7 linked regions of the Macaca fascicularis genome follow. The protein of the gene in region 1 purifies or fractionates together with the protein of each later gene. This does not show direct contact. Links are inferred from orthologs where the notes say so. Each region holds a gene or a part of one and is shown in the gene's direction. Other genes may lie near its edges.

Evidence for each region.
Region 2: the proteins of CEBPB (region 1) and STAT3 purify together in Homo sapiens (affinity purification with western blotting; 3 studies listed by BioGRID, with this or other methods). This does not show direct contact. The link is inferred for Macaca fascicularis from reciprocal best matches to the Homo sapiens genes CEBPB and STAT3.
Region 3: the proteins of CEBPB (region 1) and ATF2 purify together in Homo sapiens (affinity purification with western blotting; 3 studies listed by BioGRID and IntAct, with this or other methods). This does not show direct contact. The link is inferred for Macaca fascicularis from reciprocal best matches to the Homo sapiens genes CEBPB and ATF2.
Region 4: the proteins of CEBPB (region 1) and ATF3 purify together in Homo sapiens (affinity purification with western blotting; 3 studies listed by BioGRID and IntAct, with this or other methods). This does not show direct contact. The link is inferred for Macaca fascicularis from reciprocal best matches to the Homo sapiens genes CEBPB and ATF3.
Region 5: the proteins of CEBPB (region 1) and SMARCC1 purify together in Homo sapiens (affinity purification with western blotting; 3 studies listed by BioGRID, with this or other methods). This does not show direct contact. The link is inferred for Macaca fascicularis from reciprocal best matches to the Homo sapiens genes CEBPB and SMARCC1.
Region 6: the proteins of CEBPB (region 1) and SMARCA4 purify together in Homo sapiens (affinity purification with western blotting; 3 studies listed by BioGRID, with this or other methods). This does not show direct contact. The link is inferred for Macaca fascicularis from reciprocal best matches to the Homo sapiens genes CEBPB and SMARCA4.
Region 7: the proteins of CEBPB (region 1) and SMARCA2 purify together in Homo sapiens (affinity purification with western blotting; 5 studies listed by BioGRID and IntAct, with this or other methods). This does not show direct contact. The link is inferred for Macaca fascicularis from reciprocal best matches to the Homo sapiens genes CEBPB and SMARCA2.

Annotation. Positions count from the first base shown.
Region 1 is NC_088384.1:106,283,149-106,286,880, forward strand, and holds CEBPB (CCAAT/enhancer-binding protein beta), read left to right. Parts: upstream 1-1,391; 5' UTR 1,392-1,592; coding exon 1,593-2,627; 3' UTR 2,628-3,232; downstream 3,233-3,732. UniProt on the Homo sapiens protein: Important transcription factor regulating the expression of genes involved in immune and inflammatory responses. Also plays a significant role in adipogenesis, as well as in the gluconeogenic pathway, liver regeneration, and hematopoiesis.
Region 2 is NC_088390.1:63,447,410-63,451,584, reverse strand, and holds the start of STAT3 (signal transducer and activator of transcription 3), read left to right. Parts: upstream 1-1,375; 5' UTR 1,376-1,382; coding exon 1,383-1,684; intron 1,685-4,175. UniProt on the Homo sapiens protein: Signal transducer and transcription activator that mediates cellular responses to interleukins, KITLG/SCF, LEP and other growth factors. Once activated, recruits coactivators, such as NCOA1 or MED1, to the promoter region of the target gene.
Region 3 is NC_088386.1:70,725,901-70,730,045, reverse strand, and holds the start of ATF2 (cyclic AMP-dependent transcription factor ATF-2), read left to right. Parts: upstream 1-1,345; 5' UTR 1,346-1,496; intron 1,497-1,635; exon of another isoform or gene 1,636-1,725; intron 1,726-4,145. UniProt on the Homo sapiens protein: Transcriptional activator which regulates the transcription of various genes, including those involved in anti-apoptosis, cell growth, and DNA damage response.
Region 4 is NC_088375.1:70,419,775-70,423,274, forward strand, and holds part of ATF3 (cyclic AMP-dependent transcription factor ATF-3), read left to right. Parts: intron 1-2,596; coding exon 2,597-2,704; intron 2,705-3,500.
Region 5 is NC_088376.1:110,591,731-110,595,230, reverse strand, and holds part of SMARCC1 (SWI/SNF complex subunit SMARCC1), read left to right. Parts: intron 1-2,383; coding exon 2,384-2,642; intron 2,643-3,325; coding exon 3,326-3,487; intron 3,488-3,500. UniProt on the Homo sapiens protein: Involved in transcriptional activation and repression of select genes by chromatin remodeling (alteration of DNA-nucleosome topology).
Region 6 is NC_088393.1:11,557,530-11,561,029, forward strand, and holds part of SMARCA4 (transcription activator BRG1), read left to right. Parts: intron 1-154; coding exon 155-467; intron 468-1,858; coding exon 1,859-1,985; intron 1,986-3,500. UniProt on the Homo sapiens protein: ATPase involved in transcriptional activation and repression of select genes by chromatin remodeling (alteration of DNA-nucleosome topology).
Region 7 is NC_088389.1:97,065,529-97,069,028, reverse strand, and holds part of SMARCA2 (probable global transcription activator SNF2L2), read left to right. Parts: intron 1-2,535; coding exon 2,536-2,778; intron 2,779-3,500. UniProt on the Homo sapiens protein: ATPase involved in transcriptional activation and repression of select genes by chromatin remodeling (alteration of DNA-nucleosome topology).

The DNA of each region.
Region 1 (3,732 bases):
CCTCTAACCTGAGCCTAGGGAGCAGAGGCGGGCCGGTAGTTAGAGGGCCTTGGGTCTGTGTTCAAGTCCAGGCAGGCCGTTGTCACTTTCCCATCTGTGAAACGGCAGCAGCAAAAGCATCTTCCTGGTGGGGTGAAAAAGAACCTCGGGGTCCAGGCCCACCCTGAGCACAGGGCAGGGACTTGGTAAAAACTTCTCTTTCTCTTTCCTTCTCTGTTTCCTGCATGCCACCCCCCTCCCGTGAGGCCTGGCTTAAGCCCCTCCCCAGCAGCTTCAGAAACAGAAGCTTTTTGGCCTCTGGGGCTGGCAATAGGTCTTAGGGCCCAGATGAGGGCATTTCGTTTGGGATGAATGGGGGACATGCGGCCATGTGACCTTGGTATGCCATGCCATGCTCCCTCTGGGCCTCCACTGGCACAATCCATGGGGGTCCCTTTCTCTCTGATGTGCAGCCCACAACGTAAGCCTTAGGTTTGGGAGTCTGGTGGGAGCAATGCCACCACCGCTGACAGTAGCGACACCCTTCATGGACTGCAGCTGGGAGAAGTGACTCATCCAAGGTCACACAGTGTGGCAGGGCCCAGCACCCCTCCGCCCCTGCACCATCCCAGGGCCCAGGTCGGATGGCGCGGCGCGGGGCAAGAGAAGACCCGGGTGTGTACAAGCCGCAAGCAGGCGGCAGGTGCGGTGGGCGGGGCTAGGGGCGGGACACCGTGGACCAGGGTCCAGCCCCCAGCGCAGCGCGATCCTGCTCCGTCCCCCCGACCCCCGGGGTCCTCATATTGGCGGTGGCTTAAGAGGGGAATCGTCACAGGCGTGGAGTCTACTCCTTTCTAGAGCCGGGGACCTGGGGAAGAGGTGGGAGTTTAGGGGGAAGGGCTACGGAGATGGGTCGCTTCTCCTGGAGCTAGAGTTGCGGGCTGGGGTCTCCAGGGTTCCGCCCGGGGAGCGGCCCCTGGTCCGCCGTCGGGGCTCTGCTCGGTCCTCCTGAAACCTCCGCCTCCTCCAGCAGGGGGCGGGCCGGGGCCGCATCTCCGGGGGAAGGCGATCAGGTCGCCCCCTCCTCCGATTCCCCCGCCTTCCAGGACAGCCTCCAGCCCAGAGGGGCGGTCTGGGGGCGGGGTCGCACCGCCCCCTCTCGCTCCCAATCCCGGGGCGGCCGGGCGGGGGTGGGCAGGGGGCGTGAGGTCGCCCCCTGCGGCCCGGGGACCCCCCCCGAAAACGCGCTCCGGGTGCCCGGTCCTCCGCTGCGCCCTGCCGCCGTCCTCCTGGGGGTCTCGGGCGGCCGCGGCCGTGTCCTTCGCGTCCCGGCGGCGCGGCGGGAGGGGCCGGTGTGACGCAGCGGTTGCTACGGGCCGCCCTTATAAATAACCGGGCTCAGGAGAAACTTTAGCGAGTCAGAGCCGCGCACGGGACTGGGAAGGGGACCCACCCGAGGGTTCAGCCACCAGCCCCCGCACTAATAGCGGCCACCCCGGCAGCGGCGGCAGCAGCAGCGACGCAGCGGCGACAGCTCAGAGCAGGGAGGCCGCGCCACCTGCGGGCCGGCCGGAGCGGGCAGCCCCAGGCCCCCTCCCCGGGCACCCGCGTTCATGCAACGCCTGGTGGCCTGGGACCCAGCATGTCTCCCCCTGCCGCCGCCGCCTGCCTTTAAATCCATGGAAGTGGCCAACTTCTACTACGAGGCGGACTGCTTGGCTGCTGCGTACGGCGGCAAGGCGGCCCCCGCGGCGCCCCCCGCGGCCAGACCCGGGCCGCGCCCCCCAGCCGGCGAGCTGGGCAGCATCGGCGACCACGAGCGCGCCATCGACTTCAGCCCGTACCTGGAGCCGCTGGGCGCGCCGCAGGCCCCGGCGCCCGCCACGGCCACGGACACCTTCGAGGCGGCTCCGCCCGCGCCCGCCCCCGCGCCCGCCTCCTCCGGGCAGCACCACGACTTCCTCTCCGACCTCTTCTCCGACGACTACGGGGGCAAGAACTGCAAGAAGCCGGCCGAGTACGGCTACGTGAGCCTGGGGCGCCTGGGGGCCGCCAAGGGCGCGCTGCACCCCGGCTGCTTCGCGCCCCTGCACCCGCCACCCCCGCCGCCGCCGCCGCCCGCCGAGCTCAAGGCGGAGCCGGGCTTCGAGCCCGCGGACTGCAAGCGGAAGGAGGAGGCCGGGGCGCCGGGCGGCGGCGCAGGCATGGCGGCGGGCTTCCCGTACGCGCTGCGCGCTTACCTCGGCTACCAGGCGGTGCCGAGCGGCAGCAGCGGGAGCCTCTCCACGTCCTCGTCGTCCAGCCCGCCCGGCACGCCGAGCCCCGCCGACGCCAAGGCGCCCCCGGCCGCCTGCTACGCGGGGGCCGCGCCGCCGCCCTCGCAGGTCAAGAGCAAGGCCAAGAAGACAGTGGACAAGCACAGCGACGAGTACAAGATCCGGCGCGAGCGCAACAACATCGCCGTGCGCAAGAGCCGCGACAAGGCCAAGATGCGCAACCTGGAGACGCAGCACAAGGTCCTGGAGCTCACGGCCGAGAACGAGCGGCTGCAGAAGAAGGTGGAGCAGCTGTCGCGCGAGCTCAGCACCCTGCGGAACTTGTTCAAGCAGCTGCCCGAGCCCCTGCTCGCCTCCTCCGGCCACTGCTAGCGCGGCCCCCGCGCGCGTCCCCCTGCCGGCCGGGGCCGAGACTCCGGGAAGCGCCCGCGCCCGCGCCCCCGCCTCCGCCCCCGGCGGCGCCGGCAAAACTTTGGCACTGGGGCACTTGGCAGCGCGGGGAGCCCGTCGGTAATTTTAATATTTTATTATATATATATATCTATATTTTTGTCCAAACCAACCGCACATGCAGATGGGGCGCCCGCCCGTGGTGTTATTTAAAGAAGAAACGTCTATGTGTACAGATGAATGATAAACTCTCTGCCTCTCCCTCTGCCCCTCTCCAGGCGCCGGCGGGCGGGCCGGTTTCGAAGTTGATGCAATCGGTTTAAACATGGCTGAACGCGTGTGTACACGGGACTGACGCAACCCACGTGTAACTGTCAGCCGGGCCCTGAGTAATCGCTTAAAGATGTTCCTACGGGCTTGTTGCTGTTGATGTTTTGTTTTGTTTTGTTTTTTGGTCTTTTTTTTTGTATTATAAAAAATAATCTATTTCTATGAGAAAAGAGGCGTCTGTATATTTTGGGAATCTTCCGTTTCAAGCATTAAGTAAGAACACTTTTAATAAACTTTTTTTTGAGAATGGTTACAAAGCCTTTTGGGGGCAGTAATTGGCTTTTGTTTTTTTTTTGCTTTATTTTGGATTTGTAGGATTTTGTTTTTGCGTTTCTGGTGTGTAGTGGGTTGTGTGTGGGGGGCTGCTGTTATTTTTGGAGGTTTTGGTGGTTGGTGGGGGTGTTGCAGCTGGTTTTTCTGCCTCCTCTGCTACACCCTCCCCCCACCCACAGGGTCTGCTTGGAGATGGGGTTCCAGCCCTGGGGGAAAGGGGAGAAGAGTAATGGGTCAGGCTTTCGGGCTAACTCAGAGCTCCTGGGCGCCGGGACCGGTGGCTGGGAACCCTGCTTGAGAAGAGATTCCGGGACCTCTGACTGGTCCCGAGTGTCAGGCTTGGGTTTGGAAGGGCTGGGAGGTCTGTGACCCCTGCCCTGTGTTTGGGGACTAGATAGGCAGGCCTGTGACTGTAGGAGGAGGGGTTCAGGTCTTGGTCCTGCTGAGCCCGAGTCAGGGCAGATGCTTTTAGTAAGTGTAGTTG
Region 2 (4,175 bases), on another chromosome or scaffold:
GCACCAGTGACCCTATGAATTGCCCTGTAGGTGCCTCTGTCCCTCGTTGGATATGAGGTGGTATGAATGGTCTGAATCTGTAGACGTTAGACGGGTTTCAGGTATCTGGAGAACCATGTGAGTGAAAGCTTGTGCTGTTTCTGGGGCTAGAATCTAGTCTCCTTCAAACACTCAGAAGGATCTGTGACTCCCTTCAAAGGTTAAGAGTCATTGATTTTTCTCACTACAAATTAATAAGAATAGCTATCCCTGGGGAGAAGGAATGATGGGGGTAGGGAAAGATTTTCATTTAAAATTTTTTACCTTTCTGAACGGTCTGCATTTTCTAAACAGGAACATGTATTAGTTTCATTGAAAAAAAAAATGTCAGGGGTTATCTGAGCAGTGAGATAATGGGTCCTTTATAGATTTTTGTCTTTATACCGGTTCGTATTAAACAAACACAAATATTAATAACATATTTTTAAAGACCCTAAAAAAATAAAAATTAAAAACCCTGATAGTATCAGCACATACACAGAAATCACTCCATTATGCAAAGTTCATCCTCTATTATGAAAGGCAAAATGTCTACATTTCCTATGAACCACTGGCTTCAATTCAGCAAAACTTGCATACCAAGTAGGCAAGGTGGAAACGAAAAAGGCGGAACATTTCATGTATTTCAATTCAGACGCATAAAAATGTCAAGCCCTACACGTATCAACTTTCGTATACACCGTCTTCTGCATTCGCCTGTACCGGCCAATGGGCTAGCTGGTCGGAGTTTGATGCTTGAAGTGATGGAACGGAGGACGGGGTTAAATCTACTATTTCTCCCCACGCACTCTAGTATTTACTCTATTTCCACGTCATGTTTCCGGGTGTGTGTGTCCCTGCTCACGCAGAAACTGAAGTTCAAAGCAGGCGGAGTCACTCATGTTCTTTTTGTTGTCCCCAGAACCCAATTCAGGTGTTGGGTCCCCAGAGGATCTGGAGATACCTGGGGACTGTCTAACTGGCTGATTCCCACGTGGTAAGAGGCTCTCAATCTCGCCACCACGTGGTGCCAAGGGCCGGGAAAAGGGAGAGCGGACAGGAGGGAGCTGTATCAGGGGCATTTAAAGTGCCTTGACGTCACGCACTGCCAGGAACTCAGCTGAGTTTTCAGCAGGACATTCCGGTCATCTTCCCTCCCTCCCCCCGGGCTTCTGTGCCCAAGTCCTCGGCTCTTCCCTCGCTGTGGCGGAGGGAGGAGCACCGAACTGTCGGAACAGCCAGCACAGGGCCGTATCAGTCTTCTCTTGGCTCCGCCCTTTCTCCTAGCTGCTCTCTTCATTGGTCAGTGGGCGGGGCTTTGTCGGTACCGCACACGCACTGGGACCTCTGGGTGGCCGAGCGAAATGGCCGTTCATGAATTATGCATGACGGCGTGCCTCGGCCAGGCTGGGGCTGGGCGGGGATTGGCTGAAGGGGCTGTAATTCAGCGGTTTCCGGAGCTGCGGCGGCGTAGACCGGGAGGGGGAGCCGGGGGTTCCGACGTAGCAGCCGAGGGAACAAGCCCCAACCGGATCCTGGACAGGCACCCCGGCTCGGCGCTGTCTCTCCCCCTCGGCTCGGATAAGCCCTCCGGCCTGAGGGAGCCCCGTCGCCCGCCCCCGGCGCACGCGCAGCCCCGGCCTCTCGGCCTCTGCTGGAGAAACAGGTGAAGGGGGTGCAGGGTGGGGCCGTCGGGGAGGCCTGGGGACCTGGGGGCGCCGCCGCGGTTGGGGGCCTCTGGGACCTTGGGGATTTTGTGATGGACGCTGCAGTGGGGCGGGGAGAGATGAGGAGACGCGGAGGGTCGCCCTGAGGGAAGACTCTTCGGGATGACAGGAGCGGGCCTCGGAAGGGACTCGGGGCGCTGGAGGGAAGTTTCGTTCTTCGGAGAAACAGTGAGAACGCGCCCGAGGGGGCACCGTGGGGCGAGGGCGCACTCGGCTGCGGCGGCAGGAGTGAGGGACAGTCCCCCGATTTCCTGCTCCCTGGAGCCCTGGGGACGTTCCGGCCGCCGGAGCGACTGTCACGCCGGCGGGGATCACCGGCGCGGGTGGGGGTCGGAAAGCGCCTCCTCCCCGCCTGGCCGGCGGCTCCCTCTGAGCCACTTCCTCCGCTTGCCCTGTTCCCGCTCCTTCAGGAGCCAGCTGTGCCCTTCTGGAGGCAGGAATAGGTGTGTCTGTCCCCTGCAGCCTCACGGGCTGGCTGGTCGCGGGTAGGCTTTATTGCATAAGAATCAAGTTTCCTGTAGGGAAATTGACAGACCGGTACTCTTTCTAAATTCCCTTCCATCTTTTTCTAGGTTAAACTATGCTCCCCTCACGCCCCCGCCATGTAAAAAAGAGGGGAAAAAAAGACAAAATCCCCGTCAACCCGTCAAGCCAGCTCTAGAGAGATAAATAAATCTCTTGGCAATGTTCTTTTCCAAATACCTGGTAAAGTCGGCCAGAAGATAAATAATTGAGCCATTGCGTTTACTGGATTGTGGTGTTGCTTAATTGCATAGGACGGAATGAACCAATCGAGAGTGGGAGTTCTGTGTCTCAGAGCCAAGATCTTGGGTAAATGCAGAGGAGAGGGAAACAAAGACAGGCTGGCCTTGACAAAACCATGTGTGCTAAGTTTACCTGCATTTAGGGGGGTGTGGTTGCACTGAAGTTAACAAGATTCAAACCGTCGCCCAAGTTGGTATTTCCATGTTTGATACACATCACCCTGTGCCATATCAGGTCGTTGTAAGTGTGGTGACAAAATCAGTGGTTAGTCATTGTTTTTTGTTAAAAATGTGTATAGTGTGTACCTGCTGGTCTTACTGTATGTGCAACTAAAGGTTTACGTAGTCTGTGCATGGGTTGTAAATTTTTGGCTGGCTGTGCTGATAAAGCATTGGGCTTGAATAAAGCAAAGCAGAAAATCATCTCAATCTTTTATATGTGGATTTAGACTGTGCTATGACTTGATTCAGCCAGTTTTCTATTTTATTTTATATTAAATATGTCTGTGTTCTCTGAGTCAGCACATTTATTTCCTTATTACATGTTCCAGACGGGAGTGCTAGCCCAGTTTTTGTTCAGTTTGCACAGTGGGATGGGGAAACAAGTCTGGAATTAAAAAAAAAAAATGTTTTAGAGGTTGGAGCCTTGATTTTAGTCTCTGTATTAGCACATCCATCACAAAGAACCATTAGTAAATTCATGAATCTTTTGTTTTTTATGTAGTTCATTTGGGAAGAATAATCACTTAAAAATATCCACAGTGCCAGGCATGGTGGTGCACACCTCTGATCCCAGTTACTTGAAAGCTGAGGCCGGAGGATTCCTTGAGTCCAGGAGTTGAGTCTGGTCTGGGCAACATGGTGAGAGGCCAGGAATTGGGTCTAGAGTCTAGTCTAGGCAACATAATGAGAACCCGTCTCTAAGAAAGAAAGGAAAGGAAAGGAGGAAGAAAGGAAAGAAAAAGAAATACCCACAGCACAGTTATGAATTGACCCACAAAGGACTTGTGAGGTAGGTAGTTCACATAACAATTACTCTAATATTGTAGATAAGAAAATTGAGGCCAAAGGATCAAGACACTTGCCCAAGGCGGCAGAGTGCCATAGTGGTGGAATTTGTGCCGCCTTCTGTATATTTTGTGAAAAGTATCAGTGAAATTCTTTTTTTTTTTTTTTTTTTGAGACGGAGTCTTGCTCTGTTGCCTAGGCTGGAGTGCAGTGGCGCAATCTTGGCTCACTGTAACCTCTGCCTCCTGGGTTCAAGTGATTCTCCTGCCTCAGCCTCCCAAGTAGCTGGGACTACAGTTGCGCACCACCACGCCCGGCTAATTTTTGTATTTTTAGTAGAGACCAGGGTTTTACCATATTGGCTAGGCTGGTCTTGAACTCCTGACCTCGTGAGCCGCCCACCTCCGTCTCCCGAAGTGCTAGGATTACAGGTGTGAGCCACCGCACCCAGTATCAGTGAAATTCTAACATATATCTGAACAGTAAAATACCACCAACAGGCTGAAAGACTTTATGGGAGGTAAATATTCAATAAACACGTGAAAAAAGAAATACAAATGGAGCTTGCTTAGATTATTTTTCTACCTAATTGCTATGTCTAACTTGGGAAGTGAGGAACTGTTTTTGGTCAGCATAATTTACCATCAGAATTCAGCTA
Region 3 (4,145 bases), on another chromosome or scaffold:
TGGAAAAATAATTTTTTAAAAAATCTATTCTAATTGACCCAAACTTCTTTTGAAATGTCGTAACATTTCTAATTCTTTTTCTCACATTAGTTGTTTTGGGAGATGGAGAGAGAAGCATCATTTTAATCAATGTTTTCTAGACCTAACAACTGTGATGTCAATCAAACATTTTGTCCACCATTTCCATCATCAGTAATCTGAACTGTGAGGTTTTGCTGACATAGTGTTACACTACAATGACACTACTACAACATTACTGTTACTATATGGGGACAACACTTTCATTTTAAGTAGGAAAGTGTTAATAATTTGGCTTAATGTTTTTTAACTAAAATTAGTTTTAAAAGAGGACTGAGTTGGCTTATATACATGTATGCAGTCCAGAGACCTACCTGTGAAAATGTCAATGCCATTACAATTTCACTTTATGCCAGATATCATTCTTGAACTTCAGGCTCATTATCTCTTATAATATCCCCTAAAACCTTTCAACAACTTTGAGAGTGTATTTTATGTTAATATATAAACTAGTTCATAATTTTGTTACAGACTAGAAATCAGTATTTAATAAATGGAAAAATAAAAGACTGAAAATCTTTTATTGAGTAAATTTTCAGAGGCCTCTGATCATACTTTTCAACTTGTGCCTATTTATTGAATAACCAACATCCCTACAGTTAATATTAAAATCTTTAAGTTGTGTGAGGTTTATTGGAGGGTAGGGATGGGGAATTACCAGCAAACTCTGCCTCCCGCAAACCTCACCTAACCCGAAGCTCCCCGTCTCAGACTCCCGGGGAGCCAGGGGTAGGCTGAGGAACGCAGCCTACCTTTACCCACCTCCCTACCTAGTGCTGGGAAGCGACGGCAACGGAGACACCCGGCTCCTGGGGCTGGGCTCGGAGGACCCATCCTGCTTCCCCCTACCAGCCTTTCTGGAGCTCACCATCCTCGCTTCACACCGCCAACACCCTGCCTACCCCTCCTCCGCCGCCTGCACCCGCCCCCTCCTCCAGCCGACAGCCAATCACAGCCTTCCACAGCCTTGGGTTTACAGAGGTAACGCTCCTTGGGCCCTCTGGTCCCGCCCCCTCCAGAATTGCTTCCCGCCCTTCGGGCTCCTTGCCCAATCACGAGCGCCCGAGTGCTCTTTGGTGCCCGTCCCCTCTACCCGCCCTGCCGAAGACCCGCCTTCTTCTCCTTAAGCCTGACGGAATCACCTGACTCGGAGGCTCTCCCTCAGAAGGAAGGCAAGACGGGGCGTGAGCATGGAGGGGAGGGGCGCGAGAAGGAAGGGGGGGATGCCGGGAGCGGGGCGGGTCGGGGGGGGGGGAGGAGAGTTGTCAGTCCGATCTCGCGAGAGAGGACGGAAGCCTGTGGGAGCCCGTGGCCTTTAAAGTGCCGTTCAGCCTTTTCGTCCAGGGGTGGTTTGTAAACACGGCTGTGCTCGGGGCTCGCGAGTGACCGAAAGGATCATGAACTAGTGACCTGGAAAGGTGAGTAATGATGGGCAGAGGTCAGCAGGGCTGGAGACTGTAGGGATACGGAGAAAGAAGGTGCTAACATGGCGACGTCGCTCAGCACAGTCCCCACCCCCCGTTTCCCATCACCTCGGGTGCTCCTGACGTGCTTCTTAGCCCTTGGGGCGATTGTGGCTGTGATGCCACCTTAGCGGCCCGCGCGGTTTGGGCTTTGGGAGACTGACTGGCTGGGCCGGACCGTTAGGTAACCAGGGTTCGTTGTTCCGGCCCCTCCCTCTCGCGCGCTTTCCTAAGGCAGAGGAAAAAGGAATAACGGCTCCTCTTAGACCCCTCCCTCCGATTTATCTTCCCCCTGCTTGGGTCAGTTCAGAGGTCCTCGGGGCGCGCGTCGAGTCAGCCGTGTGCGCAGGGAGACCTCTCCCACCCACAGTCCTTGGGTTGGGCGGGGAGAGGGCCCACTCTAGTCTCCCCACCCAGTGTTCAAGCGATTGAGGACCGTGTATTTGTGATGGTGGCGGGGAGGAGGATCGGGAGGCGCGGCTGAAAATAGAATCAGGGTCCCTGGCTGCGGTGCAGCCTGAAGGAAAGAATGGTGTGAAGAACCTGGGAGCTGCAAGTCTCGGCCTTTTCCGTCCTTTCCGCCACCCTCACAGTCCCGCTACCCCCCACTTTTTCCCGGTGGGGCGGGGCTTAGGTGTGGGTGCAGAGTGATTCTGGTATTTTCCCCTATTTTTTTTTTAATCTCTTTGGGTGGACAGCAGACCTTATGTAAAGAAATAATTTGCTTTTCATCATGCCCTAGGAACCAGGGCCGAAAGGGAGTGTGTGTACGTGTTTTCCATGTTCGCTCGTTTAACCGAACCTAGGAGGAAAAAGAGAGGAGGAGCTGGGGACTATTTTTGTGCCCCTAGGTAGTATAAAATTGGCTTTCCTTAATGGAGAGTCTTAAAACTGGTGAGGCCAAGAGCAAAACTACTGTGAATATCATGTAGTAAAAGAGATTATTCCTGATGGACCTCAGGCATCAGAAATTTTACTGAAAGAAATGTTTCTCTTAAAATTCAACACCTATTTTAAATAGTGATGTAAAGCATTTCTTTACATGTACCTTCAGGTTTTCTAATGCTTTCCTGGCTATTATTTAACTGGTACTAAGGGATTGACTAATCCCTAAATTATAATGTGAAAGTTTAAATTTCTTAGAGGTTTTAAATTATGGAGACGTCACAATGCATGCATTTACGATATACATTTAAAATCAGAACAAAAACTGACTTCCTTTGAGCACACTTTTTGTCCTATTTGAAGAAACATGACCACTGGCGTTATCATTGTCAGTAACAGCCGTTCTAATCTTTAAATAGCCATATAGCTTTGGTCTCATGAATCAAAATTATGAAGGTAAAGCTTTATAAAAGCTTTTTAAAAAGTAACACCTACAGGTTTAAGTGCCCTGAAGTGCAAACACAGAAACAGTTTTATCATGTATTCATTTTTTTTCTTACTCGAGGAATCCACCGTAAAAACTTTGTTTCAAAATGATAGGAACATCCTTGTAAAATACGTTTTAAAAATAGATACCCTCTGCAGATTAAGAAAGTTCATGGATCTTTAAGGCCGTCAGTAGTTGCGTAATAGTTAAGAATCCTCGTCTTTGTAAAATAATTTCTAGGAATCTTCCAGATTTACCGTGATGTGTAAAAGAATTTCTGAGAATCTTCCAAATTTGCCGTGATGTGTATGTTGCCTTTCCAAGACGTTTAATCTTGCTTTGAGAGAATGCTACTGCCATTAAGTTTTAAGAAATGATTTAAAATGTAATATCGTGGAAATTTAGAACTTAGATGTTATGTATTTTAATTGTCAGTAAGGAAGGAGCTTTCAGGGACCTTTTGTGTGTGTGTGTGTAGGGTATATAATACCTTCTGTAGCTCCGGGTGCATTTCCTGAAAATCCTTTTTAAAATACCTTATCCGAATGTTTATTTCGTATTTGGGGCACTATATTATTATTAGTTAAATATGTAACCCAGGAATTCCTGCACTTTTTTCTTTGGCGTTGTTTTTTATTTTTAAGCTGAGATAATAGAGGCTGGGCGCGCGCGGTGGCTCATTCCTGTAATCCCAGCACTTTGGGAGGCCGAGGCGGGGGGATCACGAGGTGAGGAGACCTTCCTAGCTAACACTGTGAAACCCCGTCTCTACTAAAAGTGCAAAAAACTAGCCGGGCCTGGTGGCGCCTGTAGTCCCAGCTACTCAGGAGGCTGAGGCGGGAGAATCCCTTGAACCCGGGAGGCGGAGGTTGCAGTGAGCCGGAGGTTGCAGTGAGCCGGAGGTTGCAGTGAGCCGAGATCGCTCCACTGCACTCCAGCCTGGGTGACAGCGAGATTCCGTCTCAAATAAATAAATAGTAGAAATGGTTGTCAGCATTTTAACAAATAATGGGGGTGGAGGTACTCTTTATTGGTATTCAGGATCTGAAAGCTCTGTGAGTATGGTTGAAAAATATTCCATACATCAAACATCTATCTATAGGTAGCGTTAACTCTTCAAAGAATAATGTACATTTTTTCTACCCAACTTTTTGTATTTTGGAAAACTTGAGTTTTAATGATACATACATTCTTGTCTGGTAAATTGTTAGATCATGTTAGATCAGGTAGTC
Region 4 (3,500 bases), on another chromosome or scaffold:
CTTTTCAGGCCAGGCATGGTGGCCCACGCCTGTAATCCCAGCACTTTGGGAGGCCATAGTGGGATTATCGCTTGAGTCCAGGAGTTTGAGACCAGCCTGGGCAACACAATGAGACCCAATCTCTATAAAAATATTAGCTGGGCAAGGTGGTACATGCCTGTAGTCTCATCCACTTGAGAGGCTGAGGTGGGAGGACCGCTTGAGCCCAGGAGGTTGAGGCTGCAATGAGCCATGATCACCTCACTGTAGTCCAGCCTGGGTGATGGAACAAGACTCATTTTGCTTTTAGAGACGGTGTTGCTCCATCACCCAGGCTGGGGTACAGTGGGGTGATCACAGCTCATTGTAGCCTCAATCTCCTGGGCTCAAGCCATCCTCCTGCTTCAGCCTCCCAAAACACTGGGATCACAAGCATGAGCCATTGCACCCAGCCGGGGTTGCTGTTTTAAATTAGGAAGTCAGGGAAGGATTCACTGAGAGTGGCTTTTGAGCAGAGGTCAAAAGGAAAGGAAGAAGGAAAGAGGAGAGGGAAGAAGTCATGTGGGTATCTGGTAAAAGAAATTCAGGGCACTGAGGTGGGAGTATTGGTGCCTGGTGGGCTGTGCAGTGGGACAGAGTATGGGGGTGGGAGATAAATAGGGGCTGGTCATATTGAGTCTTACAGACTATTGTATAGATGTGGCCCTGTGCTCAGAGTGAGGTGGGAAACCACAGAAGGGTTTTGAGCAGAGAAGCAACAAGATTCAACACACACACACACACACACACACACACACACACACGTACATTTTTTTTGAGATAGAGTCTTGCTCTGGCACCCAGGCTGGAGTGCAGTGGCATGATCTTGGCTCACTGCAACCTCTGCCTCCCAGGTTTAAGCAATTCTCATGCCTCAGCCTCCCAAATAGCTGGGATTACAGGTGCCCGCCACATGTCTGGCTATTTTTTGTATTTTTTTAGTAGAGACGGGGTTTCTCCATGTTGGCCAGGTTGGTCTTGAACTCCTGACCTCAGGTGATCCACCCGCCTCAGCCTCCCAAAGTGCTGGGATTACAGGCGTGAGCCACCATGCCCAGCCTTGATTTGTATTTTTAAATGATCACCCTGGCTGTCATGTTGAGAATGGGCAGCAGGGGCAAGACAGAAGCTGAGTGCGCAGAAAGGAGACCATGGCAGGAATCCACGTGAGTGGGTGTGGCGGGGGGCTGCATCAGGAGGGAGCAGTGCAGGTGCGGAGAAGTTGTTGGCTTTGGATCTGACTTGAAGGTAAAGCTGATTTGCTGATAGATTGGATGTGGGGTATGAGAGAAAGGGAAGACTCAAGGGTGACTGAGTTTTCTGGCCAGCACAGCTGTAAGAATGGAGCGTCCATTTGCTGCTGAGATTTGGGATTATAGGGGTTAGGGTGGTGGCAAGAGCAGGAGATCTGTCCTATTCTGCACCCCTGTGGAGATGTCAAGCAGGCAGTTGAATATGTGAGTCTGGAGTTCAGAGGAGAGTCTGGTCTAGAGATAATAGAGTTGGAAATTATCAGCATATAGATGGCACTTAAAAGCCATGAGTCAGGATGAGGCCACCTTCTGTGTCCAGTTGTTCTGAAGAAGCATGGAGTGTGGTGGTCCCTATTTGTATCACTACTAGGACCCAAGCACCCAGACAGTAGAGCAAGGCAGGCAGCCTGCCCCACCCTTCCCTGTAGCAGTGTTCACAGCCTTGGGACCAGGTGTTGCTCCAAGTTCACTTCTGTCTTACACACTTGCACTGTTCCACACTTGGCAACCTTGCATAAGACCCCTGGAATAATAAACATGGTGAGAAGTCTGGGAGGTGGCTTCTGGTGATGTCATAGTGGCTTAAGGATGTCAGAACTGAGGTTCCACCATTTTATTGGCCTTTTCCTCGTGGTGGCAAGTGGAAGTGTTTCACGCTTACTAAACTGGCATGACTGCAGCCTTTGGGCAAGGAGTAGTGAGACTGGCCTAAAAGATGGTCCTAGTTCACCACTTGCAGGTGGCACCCCAACATGGGCCAATTAATGCCACTTTGGTTGGGAATGGGCTTAGGTGCCTTCTCTGCAGGAGCATCATGGGCTTCTCCCAAATTTGGGAAGCTGGTGCTCTGATGCTCCAGGTGAAGTCAGAGGTGAATGGGGTTTGCCCTTGGGTCTTAAATCGAAGAAGAGGCCGGGAGAGGGTGGCTACGTGATGATCCTGAGGTCGTTCCTGGTTCCCAAAGAAAGGAGATGTTTACCAAACAGAATCTGTTTCAGCTTTAAATGATTACAGTTAGTACCAATAGTTATCAATTTGCATATTATCCTCATCTCAAAATCCAAATGCATTTTCAAAATTGGCTAACTTTTACTAATATATTGCTGGTATAATTTTAACTTTGATTTTTATTCTTCACTCACGTGTGTGTGTGTGTGTGTGTGTAGGGGTTTTCACACAAAAGTCTAGAGCTTTATTTTTTTGGGGTCCTTTAGCGCTAGCACTGGACCTTGTCTGCCAGCTTTTGCTGGCAGTAAAAGGCAGTGTATTTGAGATAGGTGGCATTTCTTACTACCCTTTAAATGTGTCCCTTTTGGATTTTATAGGTAGCCCCTGAAGAAGATGAAAGGAAAAAGAGGCGGCGAGAAAGAAATAAGATTGCAGCCGCCAAGTGCCGAAACAAGAAGAAGGAGAAGACGGAGTGCCTGCAGAAAGTAAGTGCCTTCTAGCCTTCCCCTTCCTCTCGCTCATGCCTATCCTCACCAGCTTCATGTGGCTGTCAGAAGAAGAGTTAGAAAACCCCTTACCTGGTTATAATTTCCCAAGAAGGGCCTTGTAGCTGGTAGCAGAAATGCCAGTTGCAGAATAAGGAGGTGGCAAAGCAGTAAACACAATGGATGTGACTGTGGATATATAAAAGCAGGTGTGTGAATTCATCTGATGCCTGACTCCCAGCAGCCTCGGCCAGTTCATACATGTCCATCAGCTTCCAGGCTGCAGGACATGCCAACCCAGTTAAAGAGGCTTCACTTGACTGTTTTCCTGAGAAAAGGAAGCTGCCAGCTCTCATTTGGCTCACTATGAATAGCCTTTAATTAATCTCTTCAAACAAGTAATTTCCTTAATCCACAAGCAGTGGTTACATTTGCTTTGCATTCTTGTCTGGTTCCTAACTCTACAGTCCTTCTCCCTGGCTTAGCCAGCAAGCTGAGCCCCTGGCTGTGTTCAGCCGGCCCGCCTTAAGAGAGATAGAGCTTTTGTGGGTAGGCAGGGTGGCCGGTGGTGCCCAGCAGTCTTTCCAGTGGTTGTGTCCCTCCTCCAAATGTGGTTAGGCCAGGGCAGAGTCTTAACCCAGGTCCCACAGATCCCCAAAGGGTTATGTTGATTGCTTCAGGGGATCAGTGAAAATTAGGGAATTTCGTGTGTTGCCATATACATTTTTTCTGAGGAGATGAGCTTCTCATTGAGATCTGTGACTCAGAATCGACTAAGCCTCCCTGAGTCTGGATT
Region 5 (3,500 bases), on another chromosome or scaffold:
ATTGAATCATTCTCCTTCCTGGCCAGTGTATTCTCTTTTCAAAACATCTCTTTATTTTCCTCTCTTACTAACATTACTCTCAGTTCCCAGGCTCAGACATTTACTGATTCTCCACTCTGTGCTCTTCTGGATGCTGATTCTTGCTTGGATTTTGTATCTCAGAAGGTTCCCCAACTCCACCTTTATTCTGGAAAAAAAACTTGAACTTTCTTATTGTTCCCTGGCGAAAGGAACATGAAAAAATATTTTTAAAATAAAAACTTCATTGGAAAAGGGCGTGATAGAGCATGCCTAGAAAATCCCTATTTATAATTAGAAACATAATACAGCCCCAGTAGATATATTTCTACTTCCATGGACCTGCGTGAGATAGATTTATTTTTCTTTTTTCTTACAATCTGGGTCTTTCAAAAAGTAATTCCTTCTGAAACTACCTGAGGTTACTGAATATCCAGAGGTCACTGAATATCCAGAGGAAACCTAGAATTAGCCTAGTGTTTCAAGGGATTTAATGACTCAGACCGTTTGCTGGCTTGGGTTTTGAGAAGTCCTATATTATTCCAGCAGAAATGAAAGCCTGAGCAGCAGTTGGAACCCAGAGTTAAGAATTAATTGATGGCCAGGCACAGTATTTCACACCTGTAATCTCAGCACTTTGGGAGGCTGAGGTGGGAAGATTGTTTGAATTCAGAAGTCCGTGACCATCCTGGGCAATATAGTGAGAACCCATCTCTAAAAATTAAAAAATAACAAACAAACTTTGAAGTAAAATAATTAACTGAAAAAGTAAAACATGGAGACAACTATTGTTATAGAAAGCTCAATCTCACAGTGTAGATCAGCAAATTAGGCTCTAATGCAAGGTTTTTCAGTTGGAGCATTCAATATTGACATTTGGGCTAGTTTTTTTGTTGTTGGAGTGGAGGGTTCATATATGTTTTACAGCATATATGGCCCCTCCTTGTTCTTAGATACCAGCAGCACTTCCCCAGTTGGGTCCACCAGAATGTTTGCAGACATTGCCAATGTCCTCAAGGGGGCAAAAATTACTCTTCATTGAGAACCATGGTCCTGGAGAGAATGGTGTTAGAGTAGCAACTTCAGTATGCCACTAAATAAATTCTTGTTATCCAATTAATTCCTCAACTTTCTTAGCACCACATAGTTGTGGTTTTCTTTCTACTGTTCTATCCATTTTTCCCTTGGAGACTCCTTTTAAACTTTTTGTTGGTTTCTTTCAGGATTTTCTCTGAAAAAATAATAAATTATACAACTAGAAATGTATGTAGTTTATAAATTTTAGAATCAGTTTATCAATTTCTACTAAAAAGAAGCCTACTTGGAGTTTGACTGGAATTGTATTGAATCTAAAGTTCTACTTGGAAATAATTGACATCTTAATACTGAGACTTCTGGTGAATGAACACAATATATCTCTTCGTTATTTTATTTGGGTCTTTTAGTTCTCTCATGTTTTACTCATTCCAGTCTGTTACTCTTATACATTCTTTATTATGTTTATTCCTCCTCCTAAGTATTTAATTATGCTATTTAAGACAGGGTCTTGCTGTGTTTGTCAGGCTAGCCTTGAACTCCTGGGCTGAAGAGATCCTCTCGCCTGAGCCCCCTGAGTAGCTGGGACTACAGATGTGTGCCCCCACACCCAGTTTTTATATTACTTTAAATACTTTTTTTCTTCATGTTTAAAATTTTTCATTGCTATTATATATGGATATATAGTTGAGTTTATTGCCCTTCTATCCTTTGACTTTGCTCAGCTGTTTAGTTTTAGTACTTTTTTTTATAGCTTCCTTGGAATTTTCTATATAAACAGTCATGTCTCTCTATATTAGTAAAAATATCAGCCCTTCCTCCCTCCCTCCCTCCCTTCCTTCCCTGTTTTCTTTCTTTCTATCACTCTTGCCGCCCAGGCTGGAGTGCAGTGATGCAATCTCGGCTCACTGCAACCTCTGCCTCCTGGGTTCAAGCGATTCTTGCACCTCAGCCTCCTGAGTAGCTGGGAATACAGACACACACCACCATGCCCGGCTAATTTTTGTATTTTTAGTAGAGAGGGAGTTTCACCATGTCATTGGCCAGGCTGATCTCGAACTCCTGACCTCAGGTGATCTGCCTCCGAAAGTGCTGGGATTACAGGCGTGAGCCACCATGCTTGGAATACTTCTTTCTTTATAGTATGCATGTCTTTTATTTATTTTTCTTGCCTGATTGAAAATAATATAAAGAAAGCCATCAAATCTTTCTATTTATGCTTAACTATTTGCATTAATTTTTTTTTTTTAAAAGCTATATAAAGAACTTCTAATATTACACATTACTTTCTTGTTACTGGACATTAAAGCATCTGTTTTTTCTGTTTTAGGCCCTGGAGATGTATAAGGATGATTGGAACAAAGTGTCGGAACATGTTGGAAGTCGTACTCAGGATGAATGCATCCTCCACTTTTTGAGACTTCCCATTGAGGACCCATACCTTGAGAATTCAGATGCTTCCCTTGGGCCTTTGGCTTACCAGCCTGTCCCCTTTAGTCAGTCAGGAAATCCAGTCATGAGTACTGTTGCTTTTTTGGCATCTGTGGTGGACCCTCGCGTGGCATCTGCTGCAGCAAAAGCGGCTTTGGGTACGGACTTCCCTAAACCATCTCCTCAACAGAAAAACTCAGTTTATCTCAATTTGAATATTACCAGCCATTACATTCATTTCTTTTAATGTAAATAACAAAAATCAGATATTACCTGTGAAAGATACCATATTCTTTGTGGAAGTATTACAAAATTTTTAAGTAATGCGTCTTAAAATTAAGAGCTTTAGGAATTGGAGGGACAGAGGTTTTTTATTGTATATTTTGTGATTAATTTATAATTTGGTATAACTAGCAAAGGAAGTCATTTGATATTCATGGGTTACACATTAATTATAACTAGAACTTCGTCACATCATAGAACTCTTTCTTGGTTTTATGGGTGTTTAATCCTTGCTGTTTTTGTTTTTTTGATTTATTAATCTAGTAAGCAAAGTTAAAATATGGACAGCAGTTTTGATTATTGCTGGTATGAGTTGAAAGATCTCTTATATCAAGGCTCTGTGATGTGTAGGATAAAATGTAGAGCCATAGAATTTCATTATTATTTTTTTAAATCTCATTTAGTCCTCTCATTTTGCTGGTGTAGAGGGACTGAGAGCCTGAAGAGGTTGCTACACCTAAGACAATAATATTGTGTTGGGTTTCCCGATGGTGGTTTTACACTGAAGCAAATTTTTGTGCAAAGTTAGATTGCTGTTCCATTTTTATTCTTGAACCAGAGGAGTTTTCTCGGGTCCGGGAGGAGGTACCGCTGGAATTGGTTGAAGCTCATGTCAAGAAAGTACAAGAAGCAGCACGAGCCTCTGGGAAAGTGGATCCCACCTACGGCCTGGAGAGCAGCTGCATTGCGGGCACAGGGCCCGATGAGCCAGAGAAGCTTGGTGAGTCACTGCT
Region 6 (3,500 bases), on another chromosome or scaffold:
AGTGAAGGGTGTGAGGGACAAGGGTGAGGCTGAGATCTGGAGGAGGTTGGCGCCCAAGGCGGGTGTGAGGGACACCCCTAGGTGAGAGGTGGGAGATGGGCGGGGTCTGCCTGTCCCCAGGGCCTCGAGCAGCCCAGCAGCTTTCTGTTTCCAGCCTGGATGGGCCCCAGAGCTCAACACGATACCCTGGCTCCTTGCCTCCTCCCAGGACCCATGGCGAATGCTGCTGCCCCCACGAGCACCCCTCAGAAACTGATCCCCCCGCAGCCAACGGGTCGCCCTTCCCCTGCGCCCCCTGCCGTCCCACCTGCCGCCTCGCCTGTGATGCCACCCCAGACCCAGTCCCCCGGGCAGCCGGCCCAGCCCGCACCCATGGTGCCGCTGCACCAGAAGCAGAGCCGCATCACCCCCATCCAGAAGCCGCGGGGCCTCGACCCTGTGGAGATCCTGCAGGAGCGCGAGTACAGGTGAGGGCGTAGCCCCAGTTCCCATATGTCCCATATGTCCCCCTGGGGAAGCCACTCAACTTTCTCCCCCGCCTTAGGAAACAGTGCCCTGTGCCCACCGCTGCCACTTGGCCTACACCTCCTTCCTCACCTCCCTGCTCCCACTCTGGCTGCGGTCTGTTTCCCACACAGCAGTCTGAATTCTCTTTTTTTTGAGATGGAATTTCACTCTTGTTGCCCACGCTGGAGTGTAATGGCACGATCTCAGCTCACCACAACCTCCATCTCCCGGTTTCAAGCGATTCTCCTGCCTCAGTCTCCTGAGTAGCTGGGATTATAGGCATGCGCCACTGCGCCTGGCTAATTTTATATTTTTTTAGTAGAGACAGGGTTTCTCCATGTTGGTCAGGCTGGTCTCAAACTCCTGACCTCAGGTGATCTGCCTGCCTTGGCCCCCCAAAGGGCTGGGATTATAGGCGTGAGCCACGTCGCCTGGCCTGAGTTCTCTTTTCACGATTGATTGACGTCAGATCTACTCCCTAGATTAAAACCTGCCTGTAACTCCAATTATCTGCCCAATAATCTTTGCCTATGTCCACTCCTGCCCAGCATCCTTCCTCACCCACCCCACTCTCTCTGTTCCTCTTTTCATTTATTTAATAAGTTAGGCTTTTTCCTGCCCCAGGAACTTTGCACAGGCCGTGCTGGCTCCTTCTACTCATTCAGGCCTCATTGCTGGGATTCCCTCCTTATGGAGGCCCTTCCCGTCACTTCCAGCCACTCTCTGGAATTGCAGTGGTTATTTTATTTTTTTAAATCTCTGTTATGGACTGTTTTTTCTAATGAGGCTGAGAGTTCCTTGACTTGCTGATCTTGTTTAGTGGTAAGGCCCTGCGCTCAAAATGGTCCCTGGCATACAGTTGGTGCTCAATGAGTATGTGCGGAAAGACTGATTAAGAGGATTAGTTCACATAACCTTCCTATGTAACCTTTGTAATCTTCAGACCACACCTCTAGGGTCTCTCCAAGGGGTCGCCTCAGTTTTGAGATGAGAATGCTGAGGTGTGCAGGTGAAGTAGATTCTCACGGCCCTGTGCCTCATCCATGCCAGGGCTGCATGAAAACCCCGGCCCACCTGATGCCAGAACCTGGCTCACACCACTGAACAGGCATGAACTGGGCGCGCCTATCAGGAATCTTGTTTGCTGCCCCCTGAGGCCCGGTCCTGAGGAGTGTCCCTGGCTGCCTCCCTCTCTGCTCTGCCCTGCGGCCAGCATCCTCTTCTGAGGCATCTCTTGCCTCATGACCAGCACCTTCCTTCCTTGAGGGATGGGTCCCCTGCAGCTCCAGCTATAACCGGGTGCCCTGGCAAGCCTCTCACTGCCTTTGCTCCTTCTCTTCTCTGCCCCCAGGCTGCAGGCTCGCATTGCACACCGAATTCAGGAACTTGAAAACCTTCCCGGGTCCCTGGCCGGGGATTTGCGAACCAAAGCGACCATTGAGCTCAAGGCCCTCAGGCTGCTGAACTTTCAGAGGCAGGTGGGTGCCGGCACGGCCGCAGCTTTCCAGGAAGGGCCTTTGTCACCAACACTGCTGTTAAGCCTCCAAGTATGGCTTGCTGGGCTGGTATTACACCTGCCTGGGCTGTGAAAAGCAGCTGTGGCCACCCATGGGCACTCATTCACTGCAGAACCTTCCTCTTGCGTCCTGCACAGTGCTGGAGACATGGACCTCTCTACCCTAAAGCACTTGCCTCTTGAAGCAGACTTGCAAGGGCTTCTTTCTTCCTTTTCTTTTCCTCCCTTTCCCTTTTTTTTTTTTTTTTTTTTTTGGGAAACAGTCTTGCTCTGTCACCCAGGCTGGAGTGCAGTGGCACAATCTCTGCTCACTGCAGCCTCCGCTTCCCGGGATCAAGCAGTTCTCCTGCCTCAGCCTCTCAAGTAGCTGGGATTACAAGTGTGTGCTACCATGCGTAATTTTTATATTTTTAGTAGAGACAAGGTTTCACCATATTGGCCAGGCTGGTCGCAAACTCCTGACCTCAAATGATCTGCCTGCCTCGGCCTCCCAAAGTGCTGGGATTACAGGCATGAGCCACCATGTGCTGTCCCGCATGGGTCTATTTCTGAGGGTACTGTTCTTAGTGAGACCCTGGAGTGCAGTGGAGAGATCACAGCTCACTGCAAACTTGACCTCCCAGGCTCATGTCATCCTCCCACTTCAGCCTCCTGAGTAGCTGGGAGTATAAGCGTGCACCATTACACCTGGTGAATTTTTCCTTTTTTTGAAACAGAGTTTCACTCTGTTGCCCAGACTGGAGTGCAGTGATGCTATCTCGCCCCACTGCAGCCTCTGGCTCTGTGGTTCAAGTGATTTTCCTGTCTCAGCCACTGAGTAGCTGGGATTACAGGTGTGCACCACCATGCTGGGGTTATTTTTTTTATTTTATTTTATTTTTTTTTTGAGACAGAGTCTCACTCTAGCCCAGGCTGAAGTGCAGTGGCACGATCTTGGCTCACTACAACCTCTGCCTTCCAGGTTCAAGTGATTCTCCCACCTCAGCCTCCCGAGTAGCTGGGATTACAGGCATGTGCCACCACGCCTGGCTAATTTTTGTATTTTTGATAGAGATGGTGTTTCACCATGTTGGCCAGGCTGGTCTCGAACTCCTGACCTCGGGTGTTCCTCCTGCCTTGGCCTCCCAAAGTGCTGGGATTACAGGCGTGAGCCACCACGCTGGTTTTTGTGTTTTTAGTAGACTCAGGGTTTCTCCATGTTGCCCAGGCTGCTCTCGAACTCCTGAGCCCAAGCCATCCACCTGCCTCGGCCTCCCAAAGTGCTGGGATTATAGGCATGAGCCATTGCTCCTGGCCACCTAGTTAATTTTTCGGTTAGTTTTTGTAGAGGTGAAGTCTCACCATGTTGCCCAGGTTGGTCTCAAACTCCTGGGCTTGAGCAGTCCTCCCACCTTGGCCTCCCAAAGTGTTGAGATTACTGGTGTTAAGCCACACACCCAGCCAAGGGTGCTGTACTTCTGAATGACTCCTAAGAAGC
Region 7 (3,500 bases), on another chromosome or scaffold:
TTAGATGGCTTGTCCCTTTCTTTATTTTTTAAAAATTTTGTCAGAGTTTGATGTATTTAGGTCATGGATTTGATTTCATGCATGCTATTTGTGTGTGTGTGTGTGTGTGTGTGTGTGTGTGTGTGTGTGTGTGTATGGTTGATCCTGGAATGGCTCTTGACTGTCCTCTCAGAGTTGATGAGTTTACATCTCTTAGAAAAATTCACCTGGTTGCTTCTGCAACTCTTTTCTCTCCAACAGCTTTGAACATTCTCGGGAGAGAAATAATTGTTTTTGTTGCCCTGAGATATTGTCAGTGTAACTTCATTCCTCTTGTGCCTTTGTTTCTCCAAAGATGAGCCAGACACCTCTGCATATGGTCTCCGCCATATGAACGTTTATCCAAGCATTGGCTTTTGTGGTAGTCTTGTTTCAGGTTTTTCCTGGTGAAATAATAGACTATCATTGTTGGATTACTCAAGGCTGTTTCTGTGACTATTTATTTGAAACTGAGAAAGAGGTGTTTCTGTGACTTACGTGTCTCCTAATTTGTGTGTCCTAAGTTGTTCCTCAGCCACAAAGTAGAAGTTTTTACCCCCATTTATATCATCTTGTCTTCTAGTACATTCATGTAGAAAGATGGAAGTACTCTCTCTCATGGAACAAATAATGAAAACTCATTTTTTTTCTCTTTAGTAATTTTTTTTTTTACCCCATGATGTTTTGAAAGCACTATAATCTGAAACTAAGTTATGTCCAAAATTGAATAGAACCTCTATTTCTGGGGTCTATTCTATCTCTGCATTAAACTCTTGCTCTGGGAACTGAGAGTTCCCTTCATGGCATCATAGGAAATAACAAAAAGGAAATGTGTTCCCAGGGGAGGTTTAATAATTGAGATGGCACTGGCAACAATGTTGTGTTCCACCTCCTCACACTCAGAGATGAATTTGGCAGTGTCAAAAATGATGTGTTTTCAATATTACTATGGGAATGTATTTGTACATTTGAGATCCTTTTAAAAAAATTCATATTGTGTCATCTGCATATGTATTTCAAGATTCATTGGAGATGCCTGGTAATGAGATGCATTGCTTTTATTTGTTACTGGAGAAATGGAGCTATAGAAAGGGGTAGTAATTTTGTCCAAGTGGAAGACCTAATTAGTAGTAGACCCAATAGCAAAATCAAAGGCCTCTGATTCTTTATTACTTCATAAGCTAAATTAGGCAAGAAAGTAGATTTAGGATATTTATTTAAATATATTTTTGTCTGCTTACCTCTTTTCATGCTATTGGTAAGTTTGAGGCAGTTGATTGTACAGTTTTAATTATCCTTTAAGCACTTTCCTTAGAGGTGGTGGAGGAAGGAAGAAAAATTGAGGTAGGTTTTTTGTTTGTTTGTTTGTTTACCTATACATCCCAGCCTGACTGATAATTTTATTCCTTTTCCCCCGGCATGTCTGATGCTTCTAATGAGGAAGGCAAGGACTGTATAGAATACTTCCCTCATCTCCCTTCTGTCTCTAGGAGCTTTGCAGCAGGATCTGGGGACATCTGAGCACCAGATGTTTTTCTTGGCCATAGCCACTGTTTTGTAGAGAATGGATAGGCTTAGTGGAACATTCCTCATTGTTCTCACTTTAAGAAACTGAACAGTGCTCTTAAGAGGACCGAAGGGCAAGGCATGAGAGAGGAAAGGGACTGTGTAGACAGGATGGAGGACTGGGCCATTTAAGCATTCTGGACGTTTTACGCAATAGTCATGTTGGGGAAGTATGCTGTATTTAATTCTGCAGTTTTGGCATAAATAGAGGAATGATATTTTTGCACTGCCCTTTCTGCCAGTGAGTATATACTTTTATTTTAGATAAAACAGGGGTCCTAGATCTGGCAGGTAAGGAATGTGCGTGTATTGAGGTCAGACCTAATTTTTGAAGAGCTGTATGTACAAATTTAATGTGAAATGGTCCAACTTTTAAATGTTAGCAACCAGTCCAAACAAAACAAAACACACTTCCCAGCCAAGCCCTAAAGGTAGTAACCAGCCAGGCTAATAGAAAAGAAGGTATGGAGCCAGGAATATCTCCGCTGTAGAACCTGCTAGGGCCATCTTGGAAAAATCAGTCATTAACCTCTGCTTCAGGTGGGTACCTATATTCTGCACCTGTCATGAGCCGAAATAGCATGACAATGAAATCTGGGATAGCTGTCATGATACAGTATTACTAGAAGGGGCACTGGATGGGGAGATACAGGATCCACATGTAGGAACAACCATGTCATTCTGGACCCAACTTTCTTTCTTTGTAAAAAGTTGATTTGGAATTACGAGGTCTGTAAGGAACATTGTTGCTTTAACATTCTATTATTACAGGATGTCTTATGCGGCCTATCAGGCATGAGACATTGTTGAGATTCTCTTGTCTCAAAGGTAATCACAGCATATCATATACCAAGGATGGGTTCTTTGGTTTTCCGCACCACTACTTGCTTGTTGGAAATAGTTGTATTTTCCCTTGCTTACTACATGTCCATCCTTCCTCTTATGTTATAGATTCGGTGGAAATACATGATAGTGGATGAAGGCCACCGAATGAAGAATCACCACTGCAAGCTGACTCAGGTCTTGAACACTCACTATGTGGCCCCCAGAAGGATCCTCTTGACTGGGACCCCGCTGCAGAATAAGCTCCCTGAACTCTGGGCCCTCCTCAACTTCCTCCTCCCCACAATTTTTAAGAGCTGCAGCACATTTGAACAATGGTTCAATGCTCCATTTGCCATGACTGGTGAAAGGGTACTGGTCTGACTTTTGTTTTTTCTACTGCATGACAATGACATGAAATGAAAGGCCCTAAAGCTGGGAACATTACTGCCACAGAACACCCGCAGGGTGGTTTACAATGTTGTTTATTTTATGAAACCCATTGGTGGGTGGACATGGTCTCGTGGTGGGGTTATTTTCCCCTCCTAGGAAAATGGATCTAGTGGTATACGGGGCATCTAATCCCTTTGTCTTTTGCCAGCATGTTTACCAGGCTACCAGAAAAGGGTCCTTACTGGTGGAACCAGTGGGCCACAGGGAGGATGAACATGGAGATATTTTGCTGAATTAATTTAACCAGACCAAATTAACAACTAAATACAAGCTTTAAACAAATCTTTCCTTGTTATAAACTTGGAGTTCCCTTTGAAATATTTCCACATGAAGAGTTTGTGTGTAAAACAGAACTAGTTTTCACTAATTTTCTGCACACTTTTTTTTTTTTTCTTTTTAGGTTTTAATGTGAGTTTCAGTTTTGTGTGTACATAAATTGTCTTCCTGGAGTAGCCATTTATTTTCCAGTTTCTTACTGTTCCTTCCACTGTCTTCTCTTAAGACCTCATTTATGAAAGGAAGACAATGAGCCGTTGCAAGAAAAGAACTGGGCCCATGTCATTTTCATAGTGGTTCCTCATTCATAGGAATGAAAAGCCACTAAAAATGCTTTAGTAAAATTTCAGTTTGAATTATTTCGT